Elephas maximus indicus: one gene and its partner. The protein of the gene in region 1 purifies or fractionates together with the protein of each later gene. This does not show direct contact. Links are inferred from orthologs where the notes say so. Each region holds a gene or a part of one and is shown in the gene's direction. Other genes may lie near its edges.

Evidence for each region. The genes of interacting proteins can lie anywhere in the genome.
Region 2: the proteins of DAXX (region 1) and ADNP purify together in Homo sapiens (affinity purification with mass spectrometry; 4 studies listed by BioGRID and IntAct, with this or other methods). This does not show direct contact. The link is inferred for Elephas maximus indicus from reciprocal best matches to the Homo sapiens genes DAXX and ADNP.

The regions. Positions count from the first base shown.
Region 1 is NC_064819.1:96,114,980-96,121,829, reverse strand, and holds the start of DAXX (death domain-associated protein 6), read left to right. Parts: upstream 1-3,848; 5' UTR 3,849-3,948; intron 3,949-4,844; 5' UTR 4,845-4,896; coding exon 4,897-5,103; intron 5,104-5,254; coding exon 5,255-6,086; intron 6,087-6,205; coding exon 6,206-6,417; intron 6,418-6,571; coding exon 6,572-6,800; intron 6,801-6,850. Other genes in the region: SMIM40 (small integral membrane protein 40), read left to right, coding at 1,534-1,773. UniProt on the Homo sapiens protein: Transcription corepressor known to repress transcriptional potential of several sumoylated transcription factors. Down-regulates basal and activated transcription.
Region 2 is NC_064843.1:18,763,688-18,771,513, forward strand, and holds the start of ADNP (activity-dependent neuroprotector homeobox protein), read left to right. Parts: upstream 1-4,822; 5' UTR 4,823-4,927; intron 4,928-7,826. Other genes in the region: DPM1 (dolichol-phosphate mannosyltransferase subunit 1), read left to right, coding at 861-965.

The DNA.
Region 1 (6,850 bases):
AGGTAAGTCGTAAACAACCACCAAATCTTTGACCTTGAAGAAAAAAAAGGTGACATACTAGTCTCTGTTAAACATGACATCACCTAATCCTTATTGTGCAAGGTCAAATTAAAAATTACATGTATACACTGGATCTCGGCTCATGCTCTGAGAGGCAGGCAGAGGCAAAGTATCTCTTTAGTCTCTGACTTTCTCCGAAGACTATGAGAGCTTGCAGGCTACCCACCGCTACAGACCTCGGACCCTAGCTATGCGGGAGCTCCACCAAGTTCCAGCCATGGTCAGTCTTCCTCCCGAGAACCTCTTGTAAAAGGTAAACGCTTTAAGTCTAAAGATTGGGACTCTAACTACTGAACTAACACTGTAATTGTAATTGTCAATTCTTATTCTTGGGTTCTAAAATGGAAGACTTCAGTGCGTGCCTTGCCATGACTACCTTGCAATAAACTAAAGGAATTTATGCATGGCAAACCCGAGCATTTCTTTATGTTTAAGACAAAATCCTACAAGAAAACGACATCTCTATCCCTCTCAAACCTCACATCTTATTTTTGCCCTGGAGTTCCTGGGTTGTGCAAACTTTAACATGCTTAGCCAGCAGAAAGGTTGGCGGTTTATGTCCACCGAGAGGCGCCTTGGAAGAGAGACGTGGTAATCTCTTTGAGAAATCAGCCACTGAAAACCTTATGGAGCAGTTACTCTGACACACGTGGCGTGGCCATGCTTTTTTTAGACTAAAAGGCAACTCCTTGGCTTGTATTTGCCCCAGTAGTTCGCAACTACCCCGCTTGGACCCACCGACCAATCAAAATCTTTCTCTTTTTATGACCACCCCTTGAGCTCACGATGTCCAATTATAATCCGCCTCTCCCAAAATTCCAAAAGGTCTAGGTTATAACGTCCAATCTCAGCCAAAGGCAGACGTGAGTGGGGGTGGGGTGGGGGTGGGGCGGGGCGGGGTGGGGGTGGGGCGGGAGAACTATGCCTGAGCTGACTGTAGACCCCGGGCACTCGGCTACTTGTCCCCAACCCCCTCAGGAGAGGCCCCCACCCAGCCAGCCACCCGCTGTCAAACCCAAAGGGACTTTAACGGCCAACTGAAAAATAAAAGGCCCAGCCCCCTCCTTGACGGACAGCAGCTCACAGTAGCACACAAGGTCCACTTGCTCACCCTTTCTCTATAGGGTCCCCAGACCTTGAGCCTTGACCTTAAAGACCCAGAATGTGGACAGTTGGGCTGCCTGCTTGTTCCAGTTTGTTTGTCTCTATGTTGGGCCTAATGATTCCAAATCACAGAATCATAAAGTGGTAAAACTGGACAGGATTTTAGGGATTGTTTAGTCCAGACCATTCGCTTTATACTGGGTAATTAAATGATTGCTCCAAAGGCTCTCTTATCTCTCTTGAGTGGGGGAATTAGGGTCAAGACAGGTGCAGGACTTGCAAGCACCACACCCCTTAATCCTGGCAGTGCTGAGCAAGGCTTCCATGCCAACCTCCCTGATCCAGCCAGCTGTCAGACTGGGGTTCAGGATGGCAGAGGAAGGCAATGTGGACGAGGACGATGTGTTCCTGGTGTTTGCCCATGGTCCCTCTCCTCCCAGGGGTCCCCTTCGTCAGACCTTGGACAAGGCCTTCTTTATCTTCCTGGTCCTCCTCCTGACACTGCTGATGCTGCAGGCTGCCTATAAGCTGCTGTGGCTGCTACCATGGGCAAAGTTTGGGGACTGGCTCCTGCAAACACCTCAGAAGGAGCAAGAGCTGGAATTGTGACCATCTTTCCTAGAAGCATTCTCTCTCCCTGCCACAGAGGTGAGAGGGGAGACAGGAGGGAAATGGGACTGTTGGGGGTTGTGGAGGGGACATTTATATAGCTTAGAGAAGCAATCTTAATTTCCTTGAAGTAATTTTGAGAATAAATAATTATGAAATAATTTTGAAAACGTATGTAATCTCTCATTTTTAAGTGGCATCTAAAATTTTTCATCATAAATTAAGGTTGCTTCAAGAATTGAAATCAATCTTGGCATATTAATAATGTTCACATTTTAAAATAAAATAGTTAAATCACCCTTTTGAATGTCAAATTGAATTGAGATATCATAGTGACTTGATGGAGCCCAGGTGAAATAGTGGTTAAGAGTTGGGGTGCTAGCCAAAAGGTGAGCAGTTTGAATCCACCAGCCACTCCTTGGAAACCCTATGGAGCAGTTCTGCTCCATTTCTAGAGGGTCGCTATGAGTCGGAATTGACTCAACCGCAAAGGGTTTGGTTTGGTTTTTTGGATGAAAGGAATAGGCTCTTTGTCTCTTTGAGACAAGGTAAGATTAACTAAAAAAAAAAAAGATTACCACAGAGATTTTATGGTTGAGAGCTATACTCTTCTTTTTTTAAGAGGGAGGAAGTCCATTGTAAAAGGGGAAGGGAAGAAAGAGAACCTGTACTGCCGGTGCTTACTCAGGAAAACAATTTTGGGAAAGGTGAGGATCTGGAAATTAGATCCAGTAAAACGCCCATGCTCAGGTACCCTTTGGAGTGTCTTCATGGTCTCAATTTGAAGACTTAGGCTTAGAGAACTGGAGAGAAGTGGTGTGGAATTCTTTAATGGGAGGGAAGGTTTGATGTTCTGGGATTCCAAAGATGTGGGGGATGTAAGGGTGGTACTAGAAAGTGGGAAGATGCTCGCTACTTATGGAATGCACAGGATGCAGGAGGTGAAAATCTCAGAGACTGGAGTCGTGTTAATCTTTTGGGTTTGCACATGAGCTCACCTCTGGACTTTGCCCCTGCCTTGACGAGTCCCTCTAGCCCCACTAAAGCTGGCCGAAGGGGTGCGGGTGAGACAGGCATCACAATCAGTTTCTTCCTCCTTCCTTCTTTCCACAGCAATCCCACAGGAAGAGGAGACGAGACCCCAGGTACTTCACGAGACTCATTTCTCATTTTGTCTCATACCCTTACAGTGGCAATTTGATCAGATTCTTAAAACCCTTGCCCCATCGCCGGTCCTTAGGCGCTGGACTCCTCTACGAAGCACAGCCTCCTGGTCAGCGCCTCCTGCGCGTCGGGGAACCCCTCTCGAGAAGAACAGAAAACAACCCAGGTCCCATCTGCTTGATTGATCGTTACGTGGTGATGGGTGAAAAGCAAATCAACAGTGGCAATAATAATAACGCATTTGTGTAGCGCGTTGTGCTTCTTCGTGTGCATGTGTTATGATTTCACGATGGGGAGATGGAGGCATCTAGATGTAGAGCTAGATGGAGGGTAGCAGCAAGGGGCGTGCAGCCGTCGGAAGAAAAGGGGCGGACGCAGTTGCTTAAGCTTTGCAAACCAACACCTGGGAGATAGGAAATCTGGGCCGGAAGGTTTGTCAATAGCCCAGCGGAAGGAAAGGATTTTTTTTCCTCTTAAGAGATTCTCACTCTTCTATGAAACCTTCCACAGCCTTGGGGAACCCAACTCCTTATCTGTCCTGTTCCGTTCCCCCCCCGCCCAATTGGAAAAGTGGCTCAATCCTCCCTGCACGCGATTCACCGGCGGTTGCGCTCAGTGCAAGAAGTTTCTGATTGGCGGAATCGCAGAAGCACCGGGTGAAAAGAGCCTCACTGGCTTCGCGCATAAGTCCGGACTGAGACAACGCCGTACGGCAAAATGGCGATCCCCGGGTGCTTCGCACTCCTTGAAGGGACAAACCACGCCCCCTACAGGTTAGGGGATAGGGCGCCGCAGACTACTGGAGATACTCGAGGGGCGGGACTACATCACTTCCGGCCACAGGACAACGTTCCGTATCATAAGATGGCTGCGCCTAGGTGCATGTAAGCGGAAACTCTGCGGCTTCCGGTCCTGAGTAGGGACTGCGGTGGGAGGGGGAAGGAAGGCGGAGAGAAGCATGCGAGGTTCTGAGATCAGCGGTGAGGGTCGCCTCGAGAGACCGTTTCTGAGGTGGGCGCTGGACGGTGCGGGCAGACAGGGTGGGGATATCGAGGGAGAGGTATTGTGGAGACCCGAGAGCTGAGCTCGAGAGCAAACTGTGGTACCTCCTATTCCTGAAGGGGAGAGAGCGGCCGGGGGCTGAACTGCGGGGGGAGGGGGGATTTGGCGGGAAGCTCACCTGGGGAAGGGGGCCGGACCCAGGATTGGGATTGAAGAGGAATCAAGAGAGCCCAGTCAGGGGCTCACGAGCGGTTACGGGTCAACGGAGAAAAAAGGGAAAATTAGGGTGGGGTGAGAGGGAGGGGATTCGAGGTAAAATATCTCCAACCTAATTTTTTTTTTTAAAGCCCCGGTTTGAAGGGACCTATTAGACGGTGGAATATGGGAATAATTCAAGGAGAAGAAAGGAGAATGGGCTGTTGGGAGAGAACCTGTTCCTCCACAGAGAGTGTAGGAGTTGGGGTGATCATTCAGGATGGGGTGGGGGGTGCAGGTTTGACGTGGTTGAGGGCGAAAGGGGGAAAACGTGGGGTGTGCCAACAGTGATGTAGCATCTGTGCAAGAGGGTGTCAAAGAAATAAGATGCAGTGTGGTAAACTGTCCTGGGAGGAAGGATCAACTTGCCAACTGTGAGAAACCTTGGATAAACGAAACAGAAAGACCGGAAATCGATCTGAGGGGTGGAGCTGGAGATAGGAACTTACTGTTTGTAGGTGGTTGGGGATCCCCCTCCCAGGTGCAGGGCCCGAAAAGTATATGTAACTAATGGTTGCTGATGATAGTCAGTGAAGACACTGTTGGGCAGAGCTGGGTATTACTGAAACCCAAGGAGATTGGAAAATGTGTGAGATGAAGGGATGGGGCTATGCTGGAGGGGCTCTTTCTGAGGCCCCATCCCCTTCCAGCAGGATTTCTGAAATCCCCACCACTTCCTCCCTCCGGGGGATTTGATCCCCCATGGCCACCGATAACAACATCATCGTGCTGGATGATGATGACGAAGATGAAGCAGCTGCTCAGCCAGGGCCCTCCCACCCACCCCCCAATCCGGCCTCGCCCAGGGCAGAAGCCCCTGGCCCCTCTGAGCCCTGTGTGTCCGAAGGAAGCAGTAGTTCGGGCAGCAAGAAATGCTACAAGTTGGAGAATGAGAAGCTGTTTGAAGAGGTGAGCTTTAAGGGAGGAGATTCTTGTACTCTAGGGAGGGGGAGGGCTGACTGGCTCTCCTGTCCTTTCTTCCCTGCTAACCCCACCTCACCTTCCTCTCAACCATCTCCCTTGTCTCTTTTCCTCTCCTTTCTTCCTCTGAACTGTCCAGTTCCTTAAACTGTGTAAGATGCAGACGGCAGAGCACCCTGAGGTGGTCCCATTCCTCTATAACCGCCAGCAGCGAGCCCATTCTCTGTTTTTGGCCTCGGCGGAGTTTTGCAACATCCTCTCTCGGGTCCTATCTCGGGCCCGGAGCCGGCCAGCTAAGCTCTATGTCTACATCAACGAGCTCTGCACTGTTCTCAAGGCCCACTCAGCCAAGAAGAAGCTGAACCTGTCACCTGCTGCCACCACCTCCAGTGAGCCCTCTGGAAATAACCCTCCCACAGACCCCCCCTTAGACTCCACAAATGCTGAGACCACTGCCTCTGAGGCCCCAAGGACCCGTGGTTCTCGGCGGCAGATCCAGCACTTGGAGCAGCTACTGGCCCTCTATGTGGCAGAGATACGGAGGCTGCAGGAGAAGGAGCTGGATCTCTCAGAACTGGATGACCCGGATTCCACATACCTACAGGAGGCACGGTTGAAGCGTAAGCTGATCCGCCTCTTTGGGCGCCTGTGTGAGCTGAAAGACTGCTCTTCACTGACCGGCCGTGTTATAGAGCAGCGCATCCCCTACCGTGGAACCCGCTACCCAGAGGTTAACAGGCGCATTGAGCGGCTTATCAACAAGCCAGGGCCTGATACCTTCCCTGACTATAGAGATGTGCTGCGGGCCGTAGAGAAGGCAGCTGCTCGACACAGCCTCGGCCTCCCTCGGCAGCAGCTCCAGCTCATGGCTCAGGATGCCTTCCGAGATGTGGGCATCAGGCTACAGGAACGACGCCACCTTGATCTCATCTACAACTTTGGCTGCCACCTCACAGATGACTATAGGCCAGGTAGGGAGTTTGCAGGATGCCCATCAGCAACCCATCAGGTGTGTGGCAGAGGGGCATCCCTTTAGTCTCTCCTTCTAGAGTTTGGGCTGAATGCTCTGACTTTATATCTTCCCACATAGGCATTGACCCTGCACTGTTGGATCCCATCCTGGCTCGGCGCCTTCGGGAAAACCGGAGCTTGGCCATGAGCCGGCTGGATGAGGTCATCACCAAATATGCAATGATGCAAGATCAGAGTGAGGAGGGTGAGAGACAGAAGAGAAGGGCTCGGCTCAAAGGCACCTCTGGCCACCCTGCAGAACCCCCCAGAGCCTCCTCAGATTCTGGTGAGGTATGAGAGGGATACCTCCTTCAGAGAGGCCATGTCCTTCCCCTGCACTGGCCTCCAGGGAGTCTGGGGTGACTGCTGGGGGAATGTGCAGAAAGAAAGCAAGGGCTGGACTCTGGAGCAAGGGATTTCTTAGAGAAACTCCTTTGTCCTCTAGGGCCCTAGTGGAATAGCATCCCAGGAGTGTCCTACCACCTCCAAGGCTGAGACAGATGAGGAAGAAGATGAGGAAAGTGATGAGGAGGAGGAAGAGGAAGAAGAAGAGGAGGAGGAAGAAGAAGAAGAGGAGGAAGAAGAGGAGGAGGTTACAGATTCTGAAGAGGAGGAGGATCTGGAACAGATGCAGGAAGGTCAGGGGAACAATGAAGAGGAGGAGGAGGAAGCAGGTATGTCAGGGAAGCATTCCCCCCATGTGTCAGTTCCCTCTACTTTGTTG
Region 2 (7,826 bases), on another chromosome or scaffold:
GTGAGCTTTAGACTTTTTATATTAAATTGTTTTAACCTTCATACTACCAAATTAACATGGAAGACTTCCCGTTGTTTAGACTGTCCATGTACTCAAAAATGAAAATTCAAATCCCTTTTAAATATGCTTGACCGACCAAGGTTTAACACGTTAATGGAAAGGAGCACTCACATATAAATAATTAAATGTTGCTGGTACCTTGTCCATCCCGGCCTTTTCTTTTGACCATTAGCACTGGAGGGATGAGTCTCTTCATGGCATTTCCTCTTGCCATAGCTAGCAACCACCCTACTTTAGAGTGAGTGGTGAATCCTATGTGCCAATTTCCATGAGTAGATGAAAATTACTAGGGAATACCAAGCGAGGCAGAGAGATATCTTAATATTTAGGGTGAGCCAGTGAGCTCCTTGGGAAGACGGCCCTCATTTTAACACTGATACCCTTAATCAGAGACTCCTTGCTGTCCAGTCAATTCCGACTCATAGTGACGGTGGCGTAGTGGTTAAGTGCTATGGCTGCTAACGAAGGGGTCGGCAGTTCGAATCCGCCAGGCGCTGTTTGGAAACTCTATGGGGCAGTTCTACTCCGTCCTATAGGGTCGCTATGAGTCGGAATCGACTCGAGGGCACTGGGTACTGGTTTTGTTTTTTTACCCTTAATCAAAGGAAGAAAATGGCTAACTTGAAATGCCACTTGTCTTGTGGCAGTTAACAAGCCTTTCACATAATGCTAAAACATAGTGATAGTTAAATTTGACACATAACTAAAAAAATTCAGTGAAAGGCCATTTTACTTGTGGAGTATAGTTTTTCTTTGAATTGCAGCAAGACTGACTTTAATGTATGTATTTTTTTAACCAGGTTCCAATATCATTTGTGGATCGTGTTTATGGTGAATCCAAGTTGGGAGGAAATGAAATACTCTCTTTCTTGAAAGGATTATTGACTCTCTTTGCTACTACATAAAAGAATTCATGTATATTTATCATGTTCATTTCAATTAAAGCATTAAAGAAGCCTGGTTGATGATTTTTATAAAATGTACTCTCTTAGAGCGTAAATCCTAAGGTAAGGTGAATTTCATGTAAATCTTTTTTTCTGAAGAAATTCCACCACTTAATATTTCAAATTGAATTATCAAAATGAGCAGTTTTCTCAATTTTCATTTTACTGTTACGACCTATAAATAGATGTATATGGTTTTCTTTTGCATAAAATATTGCTACTTTCATTAGAGTATGTGAACGCAGAATATCTTATATGGGGAAGAGTTTAAAATATTCTTTATAAGAACTGAATTATAGCTCTTTGTACCTAACATACATCAGAAGAGAAATGTTAATTATATTCATGAAATGTAAATGGCCGTTTCTGTATGAACTGGAAAAAAAAAATACACACTTTTGCCCTTTGCTCAAAAATGTATCTCATATTTCTTAAACCAGCTAAAACAATACATTTAGAATAAAATTTTAGGGTTTTGGTTCTTTGCAGTTATTGAACTGATGAAATATTTCTTCTACTAAAGCAGGTCTAAGTATGTATTGTGAATTGGAAACGGCATGGTGGCAGTTGATTGCACGGCTGGGTTCCCCCCCCCCCCCCCCCCCGCTTCTAAGCAATAACCTCTATAAGTAAGGAAAAATATTGAAAGCACTGAGGCACAAAATATCTTACTGAATTACTTTTATAAAGATTTTTCTCTCAAAATATTTGTTTTTATATTATTTCAAGACCCTCACCAAAGCACTTATCTTTTCTACTATGCAAAAAAAAAAATCCCTTCCCTATAGCTCTTCTCTCCATTCAGAAGGTTGTTCTGCCAGTTAAAACACAGGTTGTTTAATAAAGCCCAGTGCACATGTTCTCTTCACTTACCTTCTCTAAAGGTAGGTATTTCAAAAAAGGTCAGTTTCTAATGGTACCACAGATTTTGGAACCTGCTGTAGGTTTTAAAGTTTGGATGGATAAGACACACCTTGAGCAAATAAGGTTAAGATCAGGTTGATTCAACTTTGCAAGTAAAAGGAAGAGATGTCTCTAAGTTTTCTAATAATCCTATCGAGTGAACAGTATTCTTAATTACTGCATTTTCCAGGTTTAATTTGGCTGCCCAAGAAATTTAAAAGTCTGAGTTGTCATTTGCATTTCTCTCAAAACAGATCCTACCAGAAATGAATGCCAGACTATGAATTCTTTGGTGTCATTTTTAACATTAAAATCCCCTCCCTCCCCATAGTTGATTGCATAGTACACATTCCAGTAAGGGCCACTATTTCCCTTTTGCCCAGAGCTATTCAGCTGACCCACCGGGGGACCCACCTTTCTTTCAGAAATGATTCCTCTCATGGGAATCTCCTTAAAAAACCAAAAACCCAGTGCCCTCCACTAGGAAATTCATCAGTGTTTGATGTAAACTCTTTAGTCTTAAGCTAACAATAGAAATGTAAATATTCTCAATGATTTTCAGTGTTACTCTGTTCCAAATCTATTCTTTCTAACCTAAATGCAAAGTTAAGTTTTCAGTATCCAGTGTGTGGAAGAGATTAAGTTAACTACCTCAGAAAACCCACAGTATAGTATTGCCTTTCATACCTCACTAGAGTAGGTAACTTTTGTCTTTTTAACCTTTTCAGTTCTTACTCCCACAATTATTACAGTGTCATCACCATTGGGATTTATTGTAAAGAAAGTTTTTGAGCAGTCATTTAGAAAAGAATCTGGACTATTTAGATGCAAGTTTGTAGTAAATCTGATGACTTACATACTGGGAAAATGTCTAAAACACATCTGAATCCAGCATCCCTTTTTGCTTTATAAATGAGGTCAAGGATGAAACCCTGATGTTTTCTATTTGTATGGTCACAGTATGAAATCTAAGCATATCTAAGAAAAACTAAAGATAAAATTTGTATTAACTTTTGCCTGTCTTCTGCTATGTGTAATCCATTCTTCATCTTTGTTCCTCTTAATGAAATGCTTTGCCACCACCCCCCCTTTTTCTTAATGTTTTTCAGCCATTGTTTTCAAGTACTTACTTGGTTTGCATAGATAGGTTTTATCAAAATTTCAGAAATTAATGGAATACTGTAGTAAATAAAAGACTTCGTTAAACTAGCTAACCATAGTCTTAGACAAAGGTCTAACTACAGTTTTATATTATCAATTCAGATTCTTTTGAGATGTTAAGTATGGTTTGAGAAATAGCAAGACAAGTGTAACAGCACATACTAAGAAGCTGTTATTCCTTCCCCGTTGGTATTTACTTTTCAATATGCGTAACCAAAGATACGCTCTCAGATGTACTCGACTATAAAAGGTGGCATCAAAAATGTTGATAGTGTATTGGTTGGGGTTGGCCTAAATTTCCATAGGCAAAACTGCGCGGTATCATGCTATCCAGATGGAGAGCACAAAGTCATTGTGCCCAGGAGCACAAACTGTAGTTTTCAAGGATCTTGTGGAGGCCCATGCCAACGGCTTCACTAGTCCAGCGGCCTCAGACACTGGAGATTCCATTTGTTTTCTTCAGGCCAAAAAGAGACCATCACTGTGACTTGGAAAGAATGGCAAGTCCCAGGACAACAGCCAACCTTCTGTAAAAATAAGCCCCCATCTACGAAAAACCCCACCCCAGCAGGAAGGGGTCGGGCCATCCATGGGGTTGTGGTTCATCTCAAGTCGTGTGCAACAGGCCCTCACACCTCATTTAAGGCAGGAGGCGTCAGGCACCGCCAGCCAGGTGCCCTGCTGCTTCCCGCCGCTGCCCGTCCTGTAGGCGTGGGGCCTCCGAGCACGTGGAGCCGCCCCGGGGCTGCCCCGCACACCCCCCTCCCACTAGATGTAGTCCAGGCTCTGCTGGGCCCGCGCAGGGATTCCCAACACGGCCACCTGACTGAGTGCTGGGAGTGCTGCGGCCCGCTGCTTCTGCCTCCGCCGCCGGCGCTGCGGCCAGAGGAAGGCGCCCGCCGTGCACAGGGGCCCTGGAAGCGCACTGCGGCCATTATCCACGGCGCCTCCTAGTGGGTCAATGGCAGATTCTCTTGGTTCTCGCGATAGCTCCCTCTCAGTGGGATTATATAATCCCCCTCAGGCAGGGTCGGGGAGTGCTAGTGGCACCCTCCCTCAGAAAAAGTTAGGAGCAAGAATTGGTGGGAGTAAGGGAGCGATCCCCGGAGCTTCGGGGTAAAAGGGTACTATTCCCCACTGCCCCCCCCCCACTTGGCTGGACAATGAGTCCTCTTATTCTAATGAGGCACTTACGTCACTTCCGCTCTTTCTCGGCCGCCATTTTGGCTAGGGCAGGTTCGGGGACTCGCTCCGAGGCGCTTGTATTGTCTGCTGAGGGGAGACGCGGGATCAGCCCCCTCCCCCGCCCGTTGCCGCCGCCGCCTCCACCGGCCCGGTCTCCCCTCCGCCGCCCGCCGGGATCCATGAGCTGAACTCCCACCCCCCGGTCGCCGCCATCTTGTGCCCCTCCCCCTCCCGCAGGCAGCGCTAAGGGGGATTTTGGCGTCTCCTCAGGCACAGCTCCCTCTCTCGGTCCCCGCTGCTGAGGAGCGAGAGGAGCGCGGCCGCCGCCAGCCTGCCCGCGCCGGTGAAGCCGCCTCTCCCCACACCCTCCGTCTCCTCCCTCCGCCCCTCCTTTGTCTGCACCGCTCGACGACGCTGCCGCCGCCGCCCGCGCGGGGACTGGAGGGAGCCGCTCGCGCCGCCGCCGCCGCCGCCGCCCGCCGCTCTGCTGCGCCCACCGCGCCCCCCGGCAGCAGCCGCGGCCGCGGCGCGAGCCGGAGCCCGCCGAGCCGGAGCGCAGCGAGGCCCTGGGCGCGCCCTCGCCGCCGCCACAGCCGTGCCGCCGCCATCCGCCCGCCGCCGCCGCCCGGCCCCCGAGCACGCCGGCCCCGCGCGCGCCTCGAGGCAGAGCCAAGGTAAGCCCCGCGCGGCCCTGCGCGCCCGGCCCGGCCCGGCCCGTCGCCCCTCGGGCCGCCCCGCCGAGCGCGGCCCTGCGGCGCGGGGCGCAGTATTGTTTGGATCCCCAGCCCTCCAACCACACACGGGCTCCTTTGCATACTCCCCGACTGATGGCCCGCCCGGCCCGCGCCGACCGCTATCCGGGCGCTGCTCCGGGGTCCAGGCGCCTCCTCCTGCAGCCCGACCCCCTTCTCCGCCCCGTGAGCCCGCCGAGGCCAGCAGCCGGCCTGGTCCCCCGAGCTTTTGCAGCTAATCCTGTGTTCGTCCACCCCGCCCCCAGCAAGAAGCGATCTTCTCCCATCTCTGGAACTAATTCCTCCCTCACCAACCGAGCCCCCCACGCACACCCCCAGTGCCCGGAACGAACCTTCTGCCAGGTCTGCCCACCCTGAGCTGGGGGAGGGGGCATTGGGTTGGGGGCGGGTAGCATGCATGGCACGGAGTAAAAAAGTCTTTGCCTATCCTGTGCAATTCTCTGTCCCCACCATTCCAGCTCCCGTCCTATCCTAACCAGAGTGCACCAGCACCCCTTTTTTCCAGTTCCAGATGCCTGGTCACCACGATCTCTTACAAGCATGCTAAGCCCCAACTTTAAATAAGTTAATGAAAAATAGAATGCCCTAAAGCAGCGAAAAGATGTTTATAATGCAATGAATGGGGAGTAGTTGCTTGAGCACTCTTTTCACCTCTTCTCTCCTCTGGGCTGCCTGCCTCCCTTCCCCTCCCCCTCAACCTGGATGTCTGTCTGCTGGAAAAGGCGCGATTGCTCCTCTTCCTCTTCTGCCCAAGACCAAGCTCTAAGGTCTTAGATCCCTTTTGGCCACACACCTACCCACACTAAGTTTTCTTGATGTTCTTGCGTTCACCAATTCCTCTGGATAGTTCTTCCCATAACCCCATTTCTCAGACAAAGGCTTAGGAGGGAAAAAAGAACCAAACTGCTTCCTGTGTTTGCCATTTTAATGCTGTCCATCCCCACACACCCAGTCCCCATCTGTGATGCTTCTCGAGCCTGTGTCTTGAACCTTCAAGATGAGAAGAAAAAAAAATCTCTTGGGTAGCTTGATACAGTTTCTTTATAAATCTGCATTGTTGCTTCTGGTTTATGGCCATGAAGAAAATACCAGCCCCCACCCAAAATGCACCGCAGCCAAGTCGGCTAAAGGCGATGAGTGTTGGAGTCAGTAGGGGGCGCATTCTCTGCACTGGGTAAGGCTGCAGAGGGGGGAAGGGCCCCACAGTTAGAACAGGATGTGCTTCACAGCGCCTTCTACAGACCATGGGAAAATGGGCCCAGCAAGACACACACACACACTCTTAGTTGGTGAGCTGACAGCAACATGGCGAAGGAGTGAGTCAAGAGCAGTGATTTTATTTCTTTTAAAGAATCCACCCTGCATTTTAGAAGTTTTCTCATTTTATTTGTTCAAAACTGTTGACCCTCAGACAGTCCATGTTTGTTCTTGACAAGTCGCCTTGGCACATCCTTGGTATACAGATTTCACCTTCTGTGGAATTCTTCCACCTTTAACTTTGAACGTGTCACCATTTCTTTTCCAAGGTCATGTAGAAAAGGAGAAGGTTTAAAACCTGAGAGTAAGGAGTTTGTGGCATTGTGAATTATCCTGCTTCTTCTTAGTCCAAATCTTTCCAACTCTTTGAGAGTTAAAATCATTCTTGAGGGATGTTAGACTTCAGTGGAGCAGTGATTTTCATGATGGGTGTCATGATCTGCAAAGCCTTGTTGGTTAGCATAAAGCCCATGTTGAGGTCTTCATTGTCAAACTCAACAGAGTTGAGTGTAAAATTTCGGTTCTTTCCAACTTTGAACTCTTTGTCATCATTATCTCCGTAGCCAACCACCGTTGGAAAAGAATTGACACCAGTCTTCTCTGTGAGCACCCACCTTCTTGGGGTGTGTTGATTTCTGTAGATTTTACTTCTGTTGTTATTTCCATAGGTGTGAGATGAACAGTGCAAAACCTAGGCCCCAGCTTTTGTACCATGATGCACACAGGGTTGTATTTGTTGTAGTGAACTGATAGGTGGCCTAGTGGTTATGCCCTGTACTACCATTTTAAGGATCTGGACTCCATTGCCTGCTTTGCTCTTTGGACCACATTGTCAGTTCACACCGGTGGGTATACTCATTTTGGAGGGTGGGAAGGAACTGCAGCAACAGGGAAGCTAGAGACTTCTCCCTTCTTGGTCACCACCAAAGCCAGTGCTTTCTCGATTTCAGCCTAGCCACATTACTCAAGGAACCTGGTTAGGGGTGGTTGCAGTAGTGGGCTTATAGAATAGAGAAATGACTTACGGCTTTTTTAAGAGAAACATTTTAAGTTGACAATTTTAATTAATTACATTCTGCACTCTTGTGTATATGTGTGTTAAGTACTCACTGTTATTTGATGGCCTAGTCTCAAGCGTTGGTAGACTTCAAAGAACTTTCAAAGATTTCCCTGCCCAGAGCAGGCCTTTCCATGAACTTGTTTTGGCTACCAAAGATTGACGGTTGTTGATACTAAGGAGTACTTTCAAGACTTGGTTACATGTCTCTAACGTAGATCCACAGAAATAAATTTATGGAAAATGGATTGGATTTACTCTTTGATACATAGGTAACCGGTTGGTGCTTAAGAGAGAATTCTTTTAGGACATTTGCTACCAAGTAACAGTGAGTGAAAAAGAGGTAGCCTGATTTGGGTATTTCATAAAATCACATGGTATTATTTGTAATTTTTAAAATACTGCTTAGTATTTTTAAAAAAGATTTGATTCTGACCTGATTTGGTCTCTGATAATACAGTTACACAAGTTTTAAAAATGAGTAATTTGAAGACAATGTACCTGAGG